Macaca mulatta: one gene and its partner. The protein of the gene in region 2 purifies or fractionates together with the protein of the main gene of each other region. This does not show direct contact. Links are inferred from orthologs where the notes say so. Each region holds a gene or a part of one and is shown on either strand. Other genes may lie near its edges.

Region 1 (7,803 bases), on a different chromosome or scaffold from region 2:
ATTATTTACATACTTAGAAACTTCTAAAACGGGGCCAGATCATGAAGAACCATGTATGCCATGTTGAGAGTCCTTAATTTCATCCTTTAGGGTAGCGATGGGGGAGCTAATGGAAGATTTTAAAGCAAAGAAAAGACAATCACATTTTAGTTTCAGAAATATCTGAATTGGAGAGTCAGGGTATAAAAGACACGGAATCAGCTAAGAAGTTACTAAAATAGTCTAGTACAACAGAGATCATAAAGGCTGGAACTAAGGCAACAGAAGTGGTGTTAGAGATGGGATGTGTTTGAGAGTAGGTTAGGCTTGATGAGGGAAATAAAACAGAAGGAGAACTCTGAATCACAGCTTTCTGAGGGGAGCTTCTGGGCATGTGGTGAGGCCATTAACAGATACAGGGAACAGTGTGGATTAAAGATGTAGGATGCTGGGCAAGGGCAAGAGAAGTTCAGTTTTGGCCATGGTGAGTTGGCATCTGTGGAACTTCAGGTAGAGATATTTCCTGAAGAGACCAAGGAAACTGACATAGAGGACACTTAAACATGTAAGACAAAATAGGTCAGTAGTGTCTATCCTTAGAACAATTCCCCATCTTCTTCTAAATTTCTCCATAGATTTCAGTTCACAACTACACATAATCTTCTTCAATGATTACTGATTATTTACATAGTTAGAAACTTCTACCATGTATACTTGGAAAAAATAAAATGATATTTCTAACAGCAGCCTGTTAATAGGGTAAACATGTCAACAATTTTTGTCATAAAAGTGGTCTGAAAGAACCTCTTTGGTAAAAGTAGCAGTGTAATACTTTCCTGTTATGTACTTAGGAATGACTGACATTTTCCCTAAGGATAAAATATTCACCTGTTGATAGCTAGACCATGTTAGTGTTGACCTCAGTTTGGGGTTTACCAATGCAGAGGCTCAAGCCAACCAGTAACTTATACAGTGGAACCCATAGACCAGTAGCAATGATGGCTGATAACATGTCTTGAAAATTTGGTAATTCCACTGCCCAATGGAGATGGGGCAGCAAACTGGGCACCAAACCACAGATGGATTGCAGTACAGTGAAGGAAGTCATTATAGTTTTGTGAAATTGGAGGCTGGCTTGACAAAGATGAAGCCCGCTGGGATTAAGAACTGTGTGTTCTTGGCAAGAGGATGTTGCTGCAGAATTTCACCAGCCATAGTGGGGAAAAAAGGGGGGTGAGGGGGTGTGGGGAATATGAAATGGGAGACCACAAAATTCCTGATATGATACATAAAATGTTAAATATCTATCAGCTTTGCATCCTTTGAGAGTCACCAGATTGAAGCACAGTATTTTGGATTTGGCTGGCAGATGGTGTACACAGACTTTCTGAGAATGTTAGCATTTCATTTGAAACTAGCAAGATTACATGTGACTATCATGGTAACTTAACACTCAAGAGATTTTTCAACTTATCCCTAACCCTGGGTTAAATGTAGAGGCTCTAATAACATATAAAAGGCTTTGTTATGTATGGTCTGGGTCTCATTCAATAGTATTTCAGGATATAATACTTCTTTTAAAATGTCCACAGGGCAGTGTCAACGTCTTTCCATGGAAATCTGGCTCACCCAATAAGAGAAAAGAGGCCAAGGAAAGAAAGACTAAACCAAGAGAGATGGCAGGCAGCGATGTCTGGACTATTTGAATAGGACTTCTCCATTTACCGCCCCTCTCACTTCCTTCTATGGTCTGGACCTTTAATCACCACAGCAGTCAGCCATGTAGGGTCAAGCTAATCGCTGTTGACATCATCCTACCACTTCCCTTTTCAAATTCCAGTGAAGCTATGTGTTTCCTGTCCTATTCCACACCCTAGAGAATGAATACGGGCCAGCTAGTATCTAAATTTAGAATGGCAGCAACGTGTCGGGTTTTCGGAGTAGAGATAAACAAAACCAGGTGACATTTCCAAGCCTCCCAAGGAAAGGGGGTAAAAAAAACCTTTCTGGGGTAAGTAAATAAGGAGAGCTTCAATAGTTCCACGGTAGAGAGAGGCCTGCTGGCAGGTTCAGAAAATAGGCCGCCTGGAACCTTCTCCTTTAAGCCAGGAGGGCGGCTTTGGGAGGCGTCTCGAAATACATTTCTTGACTCTGCTAGGAAAGCTCGGGGAGCCAGAGGCCTAATACCCCCGACTTCAGGGGAAGCTGTGACGGCAGCGGCACCTCCTTTGTCAGGCTGTTGGTTTCAACCACAGACACGAGGACACACTTGAGTTGGGGGTAAGTGGAGAAGCCTGCCGCCCCGCCCCCAGCACGCCACCCTCGCCATTCCTCTCCCGCCCCGCCCCCCGTCTGTGACCCCGCGGGCCGAGCCTCAGGCGACCTGTTGGCAGGGAGAGTCACGTGACGCGCCAGCTGCGCACTCCCCTCGGGCGGACCTCCTGTTGCGCCTGCCTGGCGAGTTCCATCACGTAACGCGCGGGCGCCGCCCCGCTCTTCCCTCGTTGAGCGAGGGAGGGCGGGCGTCGAAGAGGAAAGGGAAGGGGAAAGGGGCGGGAGAAGGGAGGAGGGGCGGTGTCCGAGTCACGTGACCCGGGGGCAGCCCGGAAAGCTCCGAGGAGGAGCCTGGCGCCGCCATTTTCCTGCAGCTGCCTGTCCCTCTTACCCTGCCCGGCTCCAGCTGACCAGGGAAGGGGTGGGCTGAACTGAGGCGGGGGCAAGGGAGTGCCCGACATCTTGTCCGACTCCGCGGGTGATACAAGCCGGTTCTCTCTGGACTGGGTGGCAGCGCGCGGCCCCGAACCGCGCCCCAGGCCGGCAGGCGGGGAAGGAGCCGGTGGGGGTAGGGGGTGCGGTGGGGGGTGGGGACCCTCCGGCTCTTGGGGGTCCCAGTCCCCGCCGGCTGCTGAGCGGGTGGGGTGGTGGAGGAACTGCAGAGATGTCCGGCCAGAGCCTGACGGACCGAATCACTGCCGCCCAGCACAGTGTCACGGGCTCTGCCGTATCCAAGACAGTATGCAAGGCCACGACCCACGAGATCATGGGGCCCAAGAAAAAGCACCTGGACTGTGAGTGAAACCGACCGCGGCCCCCCTCCCAGGCGCCCGCGCGACCCGCGTCCTTCTCTCCCTCTCTTTTCTTTCCCCCGTCTGCTGCCTCTTCCCTCCCTGCGTCTTCTCTGGCACGGCGGGTCCTGTGCCCGTTGGGCTGTGTTCTTTTGCTTCCATCACACCTGCCTTCACGGCCTCCGCTCCCCATCTCAAAATCTGACAAGCCAGTCCCCTCCCTATTCCTAGGGGACCCTCGCCTCCTGTCCGGTGCGCTACCACACCCCATCATACCCAACCAACTTGCCTCCCCACCTGGCTTCGCACCCCCTACCCGTCTCCACTGCAGCCTTCTGCTCTCCCTTCCCACCCGTCCGGTGCCGCCTTGTCGCCCTCGCCTGAGCGTCTGCCCAGCCCCATTGTTTCTTCATCAGCCTTCTTCGGGTTTCCGCAAACGCCTGGTTCCTTGCACCCAAATCCCTGTTATCCCTCCGGGCTGCCTCCCTTGAAGTGATCCCCCACTTCCTTTGCTCCACTAGCTGCTTCTCCCATCCGTTCCTGGCTTTCTCGTCTACCTTCCCTCCCGCGTTTGGGTTACCTTTCATCGCCTCTTTAGTAGCTTCAGTGTAGTTTTTTTTGACTCATTTTATTTTAAATACCATACCCACTTACCCGACTTTTATTTCAGATTACCTTCTTTGTGAGATTGAAAGTAAAAGGATTCAATTTGGTGTAGGGAAAGCTTTCTGGAAAGTTGGGATTTTTATTTGCCTCTGGTGGAATTTAATCATTGTGTTGTCCGTACTTTTGACTGGGGTGAGTTTGTGACTGTCAACTCTGCTCCCCACCTTTTCAAATGGGGAGCTGGAAAAAGGCTTTTTGCTGATACTCTTATCAGTTCCCGGAACTGTTAACTCTGGCGGCTTGAATTCAGAAGCTTGAGTGTTAAGCGTAGACTGTTGGAATTCCAAATGGATTGATAAATTTACTTACAAATAACATACATCCCTTAAAAAACATTGGCAAGATGATGTTTGATGGTGCTTGAGTTTGGATACGTTTTAATTATGCCAGTTACCTTTTGAGGAACCAGCTTCTCTTACACGACACAGTATTCGTCCATTCGCTAACGTAGGAGCTGACTCCTCGGAACTTTTTTCTAACCTGGAAGTCACCTGTAATATCCTCCTTTTTCTTTGCGCTCTTTTACCTCAGGGTACAAAGCTCATTGGATCACTCAAGCCAATGGAGCTTAGACCTGAAACTTTTCAGGGAAAAATAGGGAAATAGTCACGATAAATAAGTTCCCTTTTTAAATGACTGAACACATTAGTCTGACTGGCTTTCATCATACATGAAAGTTACTTTGCTTTACTGTTTGAAGCAAGAGTGAGCATGCCCTGAAAGATAATTCACTGTCTGGAAGCCTGTTTTGATTTCTCATTTGGACTTTGGCCGTAAAGTTTGCACTTTAAAAAAAAATGTACGAAATGTAAATTCTTCCAAGTTACTGTGCTCATGAATACTGTTAGAACAAGTTTTTGCTACACAGAAGCCCATTATTCGTTGTGATTGTTCCTCCACTGTGGAAAAAGTTTTAAATAAAAAGCATTAGTGCTTGGTTCTTTCAGATATGCGTTCAAGCTGCTTTTAAACTCTCAGTCCTTGTTTGTCTTAGAGAATGGAGAATATATTTAAATGGTGACACTTATAAACAGAAAACTTTTTAAAATGCATCGTAAAGCCATATGTGATTTTTTGATTATCTGATATGTGTAGTAGACGTTTCTACTATTTAGGCTCTTCAAGTGACTACTTGGTTTGCCCTACCAAATCTTACAGTTTGCCCTGACACTGTGTTAATTCTTCTGTTAGTTGTTTTTTTTGTTTTGTTTTGTTTTGTTTTGTTTTGTTTTTGGTATGGGAGTATGAAGAAACTACTTGTGACTGTGTGAACTATTTTCCTCTTTCCTCATTCAAAATAATAATCTATAAGTCTTTTAAAAGTTTTTTATAAGGGTTTGTGTCTTGTTTCAAATGTACCAGTGGTTCTTTTAACGCATTGCCAAAAAGAGGAGAAAATAGGTGGGGTTGGAAGAGTGCTATTTGCATGTGGTTTCATAAATGTTATTAGCTATTTCTCTTTTTTTAACCTGTACTGCAGATGCTAACTGGGATTAGGTTTGGAGGATAATCTTGCATTTGTCGTTCTTTTTCTCTTCCACTTCTGTTTTTACAAGCTCTCACCTTTTTGGAACTTGAGTATACCTGGTAGTATTTGATTTAAAAATATATGTGTAGATAGTGTACTTCTATTTCTTTTCAATGAGGTTTTAAAATACTGGAATACTATTTTCCCTACATTGTTGTTTAAAATGTCCTGTAATCAGTTCTCACTAATGAAATACCTTTATCTTAGGTAAAGTCTGACCAGTGAGTGGTTTACTAAACAAATACCTTCCTTGCACACACTAACATGCTTTGAGAAAATTTAAGAGTCTTCTACGGACAGTTCATGGTGTTGACATCATGAACTTTAGGCTTTAATACAGAAACCTGTCATTTCAAGTACTTTTTCGTCTTTTAGAAGTTTTTCTTTATAGTGAAAGCTTAGTTTATGTGCACCTTTTAATGCCTCTAGCAACTGATGCTTATTTATATGAATCTAATGAAAATGATTTCATTTTAAAATGGCAGCATTTAACAAAAAATATGCTTAGGCCTGTTGGTTTTCCTATGAGCTCTTAGAGTGTGGAGGTGGTTTCTGTGCAGTTTCTCGCCAAGATCTTTCCATATTAGGAAGTGATTATTAATAATCCATGAATTATAGCTTAATTTATACTACATTATATATTTATTGAAGAAAGATCTTTTTGCTTTGCTTATACTGTAGGTGTTAGTGGATAATAACGTTGACTAGCATCCCTAGTGTGAAAGCGTTGTCGAACTTGGAATATGTCGGTAAAAATAAACACGATTTCCATTTAATTTTAGGCTTTTAGTAGCCATAATCAAGGTAGAGGCATAGCAGTCCTTATATTTGAAGGACTTCAGTTTTCCAGGCACTTTCTCATCATCTCATTTAATCCTGTCTCACAGCTGCAGGTGGGGGCAATTCATATATATAGAAAGTAGCCTCTAATTCTGTTTAGCAGTATAGAATGCTTAAAAGAACCATAATTATTGCAGGAGAGAAAAAAAACATTTTCTTTCTTTCTTTCTTTCTTTTTTTTTTTTTTTTTTTGAGACGGAGTCTTGGAGTCTCTCTCTGTCCCCAGGCTCGGGTGCAGTGGTGCAATCTTGACTCACTGCAGCCTCCGCCTCCCAGGTCCATGCAATTCTCCTGCCTCAGCCTCTTGAGTAGCTGGGACTACAGGCGCACGCCACCACACCCAGCTAATTTTTGTATTTTTAGTAGAGACAGGGTTTCACCATGTTGGCCAGGATGGTCTGGGTCTCTTGACCACGTGATCCTCCCGCCTCTGCCTCCCAAAGGGCTGGGATTACAGATGTGAGCCACCGTGCCTGGCCCACAATTTTTAATTTATAACTTCTTAATATATAAATCATTTTTATCTGATCTTACAATCTTTAGTCTTAACCCACCCTTTTTTTTAATATATAGAGTCTTGCTCTGTCACTGGTATGCAGTGGCAGCATCACAGCTCACTGCAGCCTCATCCTTCTCAGGCTCAAGAGATCCTCCCACCTCAGTCTCCCAAGTAGCTGGGACTACAGGCATGTGCCACTACGCCTGGTTAAAGAAACTTTTTATTTTTGGAGAGATGAGGGTCTCCCTATGTGGCCCAGGCTGGTCTTGAACTCCTGGGCTCAAGTAATCCTCCTGCCTCAGCCTCCCAGAGTGCTGGGATTACGGGTGTGAGCCAGCATGCCTGTCCCTTATCCTATTTTATGATACGAATTCTTAATTTTCTTTATTCTTATTTACTATCCTTGGATGTTTATATTTTGACATATTTCACTGAAATGTAATATTTGTACTAAAGGCTGTAATGTCTCCTTTTTTTTTTTTTTTTTTTTTTTTTAATGAGGTGGGTCACACCCTGTTGCCCAGGCTGGAGTGCAGTGGTGCAGTCACATCTCACTGCAGCCTTGACATCCGGGTTCAGACAATCTTCCTGAGTAGCCGGGACCATAGGCACCTGCTACCACGCACAGCTAATTTTTAATTTTTGTATAGACAGGGTCTCCTTATGTTGCTCAGACAGGTCTCAAACTCCGGGGCTCAAGGATCCTCTCTACCAGCTGAGCCTCCTAAAGTGCCAGGATTATAGGTGTGAGTCACCATATCTTGTATGTCTCTGTTTTTTAATTCATATTTTTCCCAGTTAATTTACAGGGACATTTCATTTCACCCACTGCCTTATCTTTTCTAAAAATCAAGATCAAGTTCTTACTAAGCATCCATTATCAGCATACCTCTATGGTAGATACAGAATGGTTATTTGTATGTTGTGAACTGAATCTAGAAATTGGAAATAAGTTTTTAAAAAGTAAGATTTGAATATTTTGCTTATGTAGAAGGTGGAATTTGTATTTGGTCTAGGGGTTTGTGTAACTACATTAAAAATGTATGTGACATACCAAACTGTACCTGAATTAATTCTCTTTTAAAGCACAAATGGTTTTTAATGTTTCAGTTAATATCATGGGTGCTTAGTTTGTGTATTGTCAAGAAGGATCTGGTAACTAGGATGTGGTTTCTAAGAAGATGCATATAAGGAAGAAATAAAGTAGAAGATCTGTCCCAGGATAT
Region 2 (6,857 bases):
TTCTGGGGCCAGTCCTGGGTGGAAGTCAGGTCCTCTTTCCCGTGAACAGGCCATACCTGGGTGCCACTTGGTGGTCCTGGGATGCAGCCCTGACCTAGACCCAGGGCCTACATGGGATACAGGAACTACCGCTGGTCCTCAGGGAGCCCTGAGTCTGATGGGAGTGATCACTAACCCCCAGGGCCCAATTTGTAAGCGTGGGGGCAGGGTGGGTGGGGTCTGGGAGCTCTGTTCACGTGCCAGGTGTCACGTCTGTCCATAGAGCAAGTCGGAGCTGAGCTCACGGCTGGACACGCTGAGTGCGGAGAAGGATGCGCTGAGTGGAGCTGTGCGGCAGCGGGAGGCAGACCTGCTGGCAGCGCAGACCCTGGTGCGCGAGACAGAGGCGGCGCTGAACCGGGAGCAGCAGCGTAGCTCCCGGGAGCAGGGCGAGTTGCAGAGCCAGCTGGCAGAGAAGGTATGGCCTCCCCAGACGCAGCAGCACCTCTGAGTTCACTGCCGCCTGGCAGCCATCGATCTGTCTCCGTGATCTGCCTGTTCTAGAGATTTCACATAAAGGGGATCATACACGATGCATCCTTTTGTGTCCGGCTTCTTCCACTCAGCATCATGTTGTCAAGGGTCACCACATCGTAGCCTGTGTCAGCACCTCATTCCTTTTGTGGCTGAATCGTACTTCGCTGTGTGGACAGACCACATTGTGTTTATCTTCATCACTTGGTGGACATTGGGGTTGTTGCCACTTTCTGCCTGTTGTGAATAGTGCTGCTGTGGGCCTTTGAGCACAAGTTTCTGTGTAAACATTTGCCATCACTTATCTTGGGTAGATAACTGATGTGCGTGGAACTCAGTAGAACCGCTGGGTCTCACCTCTGTTACCCTGTTGAGAAACTACCAGAGTGTTTTCCAAAGTGGCTGCACCATTTTACACTCCACTAGCAATGCATGAATGTTCCAGTTTCTCCACATCCTTGCCAACACTTATTATTGTCTTTTTATTTTAGCCATCCTAGTGGGTGTGGAGTGGTTTCTCATGGTCCTGATTTGTGTTTCCCTGATGGCAAAGGGTGCTACATATCTTTTCACGAGCTCACTGGCCATTTGTGTGTCTTTGGAGAAATGTCTTTTAGGACCTTGAGCCCATGTTTTAATTGGGTTATCTTTTTATTATTGAGTTGTGCACCCTGGGAAGCCTCTTTCTAGAAATATCCACCTCCCTGACCAGTGAGGGTCTCAGCTGGGCTCCAACTGGCAGCTCATGGGTCAGTCCAGGGCTGGGGCACATCCTTGGCCTTAGGGAGGGTCTCTAAGCTGCCCTCTTTGCCCCCATTGCCAGGAGTCTCAGGAGCAGGGTCTGCGGCAGCGGCTGCTGGATGAGCAGTTTGCAGTGCTGCAGGGCGCTGCTGCCGAGGCCGCAGGCATCCTGCAGGATGCTGTGAGCAAGCTGGACGACCCCCTGCACCTGCGCTGTACCAGCTCCCCAGGTAGATGGTGGGGCCACACTCAGCCGCTCCTTCCCATCCCCCAGCCCCGAGCAGCGGGTGGCAGGGGCCTCAGTTCTCCTTGTGCTTGCAGACTACCTGGTGAGCAGGGCCCAGGAGGCTTTGGATGCCGTGAGCGCCCTGGAGGAGGGCCACGCCCAGTACCTGACCTCCTTGGCAGGTGAGTGTGGCCCGAGCAGGGCGGAGGCGGGGGCTGTGTCCCAGTTCCAGCGCCCATGGCCACCTCTTGCCTTTTGGGAGGTTTACAGACAGCAGGGACTTCTCTGGGAAGCTAAGCAGATGCCCCCTGCCTGCTCCTTCCCAGGAACCCAGCCCTGCCCTGTGGACAAATAGGCTTTTGTCTCTGGGGCCTGGGCCACCGTGCGTCTGCATGCAGGTGGCAGGGCACTGAAGGGCCCGGAGCCACACACACTGCGGTGTGGTTCCCACTGCCTGCTGGATGTCGGTCTTGCCGAGCCCTCCTTTCCTCTTCCTCCTCCTCCTCCTGGGACCGCCGACAGTGGTCCCAGTGCTCGTGTCTCAGTGTCATCCTCCCCCAACCTTGGCCCCACCCACCCGCACAGACGCCTCCACCCTGGTGGCAGCCCTGACCCGCTTCTCCCACCTGGCTGCGGACACCATTGTCAATGGAGGTGCCACCTCCCACCTGGCCCCCACCGACCCTGCCGACCGTAAGTGGGTCCCGGGATAGCAGGTTCTGTCTGTCTCACTAGCTTGTCTGCCCTGGGAGTCTTTATGGGGCCTGTGGGGGCTGTTCCACTTACGGTCCTTTCTCACCCCAGGCCTGATAGACACCTGCAGGGAGTGTGGGGCCCGCGCTCTGGAGCTCATGGGGCAGCTGCAGGACCGGCAGGCTCTGCGGCACGTGCAGGCCAGCCTGCTGCGGACACCCCTGCAGGGCATCCTTCAGCTGGGCCAGGTGAGGCGCCGCTGAGTGTGGGTTTGGGGGACTTGGGCCTGCCTCTGACCTCTGCACCCGCCTCTGGGTTGGCTGAACAGGTGTTTGTGTGTGGAGCCTGCAGCCTCAGGACACAGGGTGGGAACCATGCACCCTCCTTGGTCCCTGTGGCCCCCACCTCTTTCCCAGGCTGCCCGTGGGCTTGCGGGGATGGAGGCTACCCCTGTCTGACTCCCATCCTCACCAGGAACTGACACCCAAGAGCCTAGATGTGCGGCAGGAGGAGCTGGGGGCCATGGTTGACAAGGAGATGGCGACCACGTCTGCAGCCATTGAAGATGCCGTGCGGAGGATCGAAGTGAGCACGGGATCTGGGGACTCCCCTCATTCCTGTGGAGCTTTGGGGGCCGAAGGCCCCAACTTGGCTGCGTACAGGCTGCACCCACTCCTGCTCTCAGCCTCCAGGCAGGGCACAGATGGTGTTTTCCAGGGGCCTGTGAGGTCAGAGCTGAGAGGGCAGGAGGCAGCCCTGGCTTTCCCAGGACCACAGTCCCCTCCTCCCAGCCAGCTCACCGCTCTGTTCTTGGGTGCAGGACATGATGAACCAGGCACGACACGCCAGCTCGGGGGTGAAGCTGGAGGTGAACGAGAGGTGAGCCCCCCTTCTGTCCCCCAGGCCCAACCTGAGGGGGGCTCCCCATGGCCCCTGAGGTTCTGCCCCTAACTGTTTTGCTCATGGGAAAGGAAGGCCTGGCTCAGAGCAGACACTCCCTCCCTACCTGCTGAGCCCTGCTGTGGCCAGGCCCACCATGGTGTCATGTGGGCCGCCCTGCAGAGCAGCAGCCAAGTCTCCCCTTCTCTCCCCCAGGATCCTCAACTCCTGCACAGACCTGATGAAGGTGAGGGGGCTGTGACCCTGGGTGGGGGGTTCTGCACCTGGAGGACCACCAGTCATTGCTGTCTTGGTCTTGGCAGGCCATCCGGCTCCTGGTGATGACATCCACTAGCCTACAGAAGGAGATCGTGGAGAGCGGCAGGGTGAGGGGCCAGCTGGCAGCAGGGCACAGTCCGCAAGGAACCTGACCCCCAGCCCAGGCCACCCTGGGCATGAGGCCCCCCCACCCCCTACCACAGGGAGGCCTGAGGGATGCACCCTATTGCCAGAATGAGGTGAGAAGGGCCCCTGAGGACCCCTTTCCACTTCGGTGTCCTTGACTGGCACGTCCTGCCCTGTTCTCCCGTCGCCACTAGGGGGCAGCCACGCAGCAGGAATTTTACGCCAAGAACTCGCGCTGGACCGAAGGCCTCATCTCGGCCTCCAAGGCTGTGGGCTGGGGAGCCACGCAGCTGGTGTAGGTTGCCCTGGGTAGGGATGGGCGGGGGGCTGCTTCCTGCCAGTTGGAACAGTTTGGGGGTCAACAGGGTGCGGAGAGTAGAGGGGGTGTGGAGTGGCACCAGCTGTCCATGGGGTCAGAGACTCTGGCCCTGACCGGCCCTTGCCCCTCAGGGAGGCGGCTGACAAGGTGGTGCTTCACATGGGCAAGTATGAGGAGCTCATCGTCTGCTCCCACGAGATCGCCGCCAGCACGGCCCAGCTGGTGGCAGCCTCCAAGGTGAGCTTGCACGCTGACAGCGGCACACCAGGCTCTGGGCCCAACTTGGCCTGGGCTGTGGCTGCCAAGCCCAGGCCTGCTGCTGTCCTGAGCTGGGAGACCTGGGCCCACCCTGACCCCTCGCCCCTTAGGTGAAGGCTGATAAGCACAGCCCCCACCTGAGCCGCCTGCAGGAATGCTCCCGCACAGTCAATGAGAGGGCTGCCAATGTCGTGGCCTCCACCAAGTCAGGCCAGGAGCAGATTGAGGACAGAGGTGAGTGCCAGGTGCCAAGTGGGGGCTGCTGGCTCCCGAGACTGAATGGGGGTGGGTGCCCAGATGCTCACCACCTTGCCCTCCGACCACAGACACCATGGATTTCTCTGGCTTGTCCCTCATCAAGCTGAAGAAGCAGGAGATGGAGACCCAGGTAGGTGCCCATGGCTGCTCCATGACCTCTGAGCTCATCCCTCAGGCGAAACCTGGACCCAGGAGAGGGCTCCCTGGGGAGTCTGAGCTGGGTTGAGCAGGCTGTGTGGCTACAGGTGCGTGTCCTGGAGCTGGAGAAGACGCTGGAGGCTGAACGCATGCGGCTGGGGGAGTTGCGGAAGCAGCACTACGTGCTGGCTGGGGCATCAGGCAGCCCTGGAGAGGAGGCGGCCAGCCAGCCCAGCGCTGCCCCCCGAAGTGTAACCACCAAGAAACCACCGCTGGCCCAGAAGCCCAGCATGGCCCCCAGACAGGACCACCAGGTGCCATCTGCACTGGGATGGGGGAGTTCCTGGAGGGGGGTGCCGTGCCCGGCCCCGGAGGGGCATGTAGTGCACGTCCCTGGGGAAGTCAGGGACCACTGAAAACCCCTGGCATGGCATGACACGGCATGCAGGGAGGAGCAGCTCGCTCAAGGGAGAGGTGGGGCCCCAGGAGCCTGGCTGTGACCACTGACCCCTCCTCCTTTAACCCCTGCAGCTTGACAAAAAGGATGGCATCTACCCAGCTCAACTTGTGAACTACTAGGCCCCCCAGGGGTCCAGCAGGGCGGCTGGTAGATAGGCCTGGGCCTCTGCGACTGCCCTGACAGGACCGAGGGGCCTTGCCCCTCCACCTGGTGCCCAAGCCTTCCGCCCCACCGTTCTGATCAGTGTCCTCAAGGCCCCTGGCCCTTACTGAACCTGCAGGGGCCTGGGCCATGTGGGTGGTGCTTCTGGATGTGAGTCTCTTATTTATCTCAGAAGGAACTTTTGGGTGCAGCCAGGACGCAGTAGGCTTGAGCGTCAACTCTTCAGGAAATGCGTGTTTTTAATATTCCGAGCTTGAGCTCTTCTTCCTACGTTTGTATTCAGCACACTGGGAAACGGGGCCAGTGTGGGGCTCCCTGCCTTCCGGACTCCTGAAGGTTGTGGATGGACGGAAGGCACACAGTCCGTGCTGGCTAATGGGACGAGGGTCAGGCATCCTGTCTGTGGCCTTCTGGGGCACCGATTCTACCAGGCCCTCCAGCTGCGTGGCCTCCGAAGACCAGGCTCTGGGTGGGCTGGAGGAATGTTGCCCGTTACTCCTCAGGCCTGGCCCTTGGGCCTCCGTGATGGGAGCCCCCAGGAGGGGTCAGATGCTGGAAGGGGCCGCTTTCTGGGGAGCGAGGTGAGACACAGCGGCCCAGGCGCTGCCTTCACGCCTGGAGTTTCCATTTCCAGCTGGAATAGGCAACCACCCCCATTTCCTGTTTTCCATTCCCCCGTTCTGGCCGCGCCCCACTGCCCACCTGAAGGGGTGGTTTCCAGCCCTCCGGAGAGTGGGCTTGGTCCTAGGCCCTCCAGCTCAGCCAGAAAAAGCCCAGAAATCCAGCTGCTGGACCAGGGCCCTCAGGGAGGGGACCCTGCGGCTAGAGCGAGCTAGGCCCTGGCTTTGCCCATCATATTTGAACGAATATGTGTCCCTTGAGCCTGAGGGGAGTGGCAGGAGGAGTGGGACCAGGCTGGGAGGGCAGAGCCAGCAGCTGCCATGTCCTCCTGTCCTCACCCCCACCCCAGGCCCCAGCCCTTTAGCCCTTCACCCTGTGCTCTGGAAAGGCTACCACATACTGGCCAAGGTCAGGAGCAGTAAGAATGAGCCAGAACCAGCCCCTTGGCTTTGTGTGAGCATTTCCTCCTGTTGAAGTGTTGTGCTGGCAATAAAATGCACTTTGACTGTTGTCACTGATGCCCAGAGGGGCTGTGCCTGGCTCTTCATTCCTTCAGGGACGCATGTTCCCTTGTCTAGGCCCTGGCCAGGCGCTGGGACGGGGACCCCATCGTGTCTGCATTTAGTGCTAGAATACTCAGGACTGCAGAAAAGCTCAGCAGGGCTGTCACAGGCTGTGCGTGTCTGCCTTGCATTCTGGGAGATTTATGGGCCTTGGGGCCCTTCTTTTATACAGGAGGCCAAGAGCCAGCTGCCTCCACAGAGGCCACCTCCACTCCCAGCCTTGATGCCCACAGCTTCCCTGGGGTTCCCAGCAGTTGCTGACCCCCTCAGTGTGTGTGAGACCATGGCTGACAGTTCCTAAGGTGGAGACCCTGACTCCCAGCTGGCTTGGACTTGAGCCATGACCACACACAGCCTTTGCACTTACCGGAAACCTGGAAGGGCATTCAGTCCCTGGGTGTGTGGCAGCCTCACAAGCACCCACTTTACCCAGGAGCACATGCCAGAGGGAAGGCTGAGGTGGGTGAGCTCACCCTGTCCCACCCCCTTCCAAGATTACTGGCATTTATGGAGAAACAGGACAGGGTGGGTCAGGGGAGAGAAAAGGCCCCTTGGCTGGCTCCTATATGGCCTCAGACAAGCCTCCCACCTGTGTCCACGGTCTCCTGGAGGGTGAAGTGG

Evidence for each region.
Region 1: the proteins of HIP1R (region 2) and PICALM fractionate together in Homo sapiens (co-fractionation; 3 studies listed by BioGRID and IntAct, with this or other methods). This does not show direct contact. The link is inferred for Macaca mulatta from reciprocal best matches to the Homo sapiens genes HIP1R and PICALM.

The regions. Positions count from the first base shown.
Region 1 is NC_133419.1:86,664,479-86,672,281, reverse strand, and holds the start of PICALM (phosphatidylinositol-binding clathrin assembly protein), read left to right. Parts: upstream 1-2,815; 5' UTR 2,816-2,917; coding exon 2,918-3,047; intron 3,048-7,803. Other genes in the region: uncharacterized protein LOC114672368, read right to left, coding at 2,418-2,714. UniProt on the Homo sapiens protein: Cytoplasmic adapter protein that plays a critical role in clathrin-mediated endocytosis which is important in processes such as internalization of cell receptors, synaptic transmission or removal of apoptotic cells.
Region 2 is NC_133416.1:130,250,942-130,257,798, forward strand, and holds the end of HIP1R (huntingtin-interacting protein 1-related protein), read left to right. Parts: intron 1-262; coding exon 263-457; coding exon of another isoform or gene 458-490; exon of another isoform or gene 491-607; intron 608-1,336; coding exon 1,337-1,484; intron 1,485-1,575; coding exon 1,576-1,662; intron 1,663-2,065; coding exon 2,066-2,173; intron 2,174-2,284; coding exon 2,285-2,421; intron 2,422-2,647; coding exon 2,648-2,758; exon of another isoform or gene 2,759-2,792; intron 2,793-2,927; exon of another isoform or gene 2,928-2,993; coding exon 2,994-3,052; intron 3,053-3,268; coding exon 3,269-3,299; intron 3,300-3,375; coding exon 3,376-3,438; intron 3,439-3,651; coding exon 3,652-3,752; intron 3,753-3,907; coding exon 3,908-4,013; intron 4,014-4,144; coding exon 4,145-4,268; intron 4,269-4,360; coding exon 4,361-4,422; intron 4,423-4,537; coding exon 4,538-4,744; intron 4,745-4,961; coding exon 4,962-5,009; 3' UTR 5,010-5,133; downstream 5,134-6,857. UniProt on the Homo sapiens protein: Component of clathrin-coated pits and vesicles, that may link the endocytic machinery to the actin cytoskeleton. Binds 3-phosphoinositides (via ENTH domain).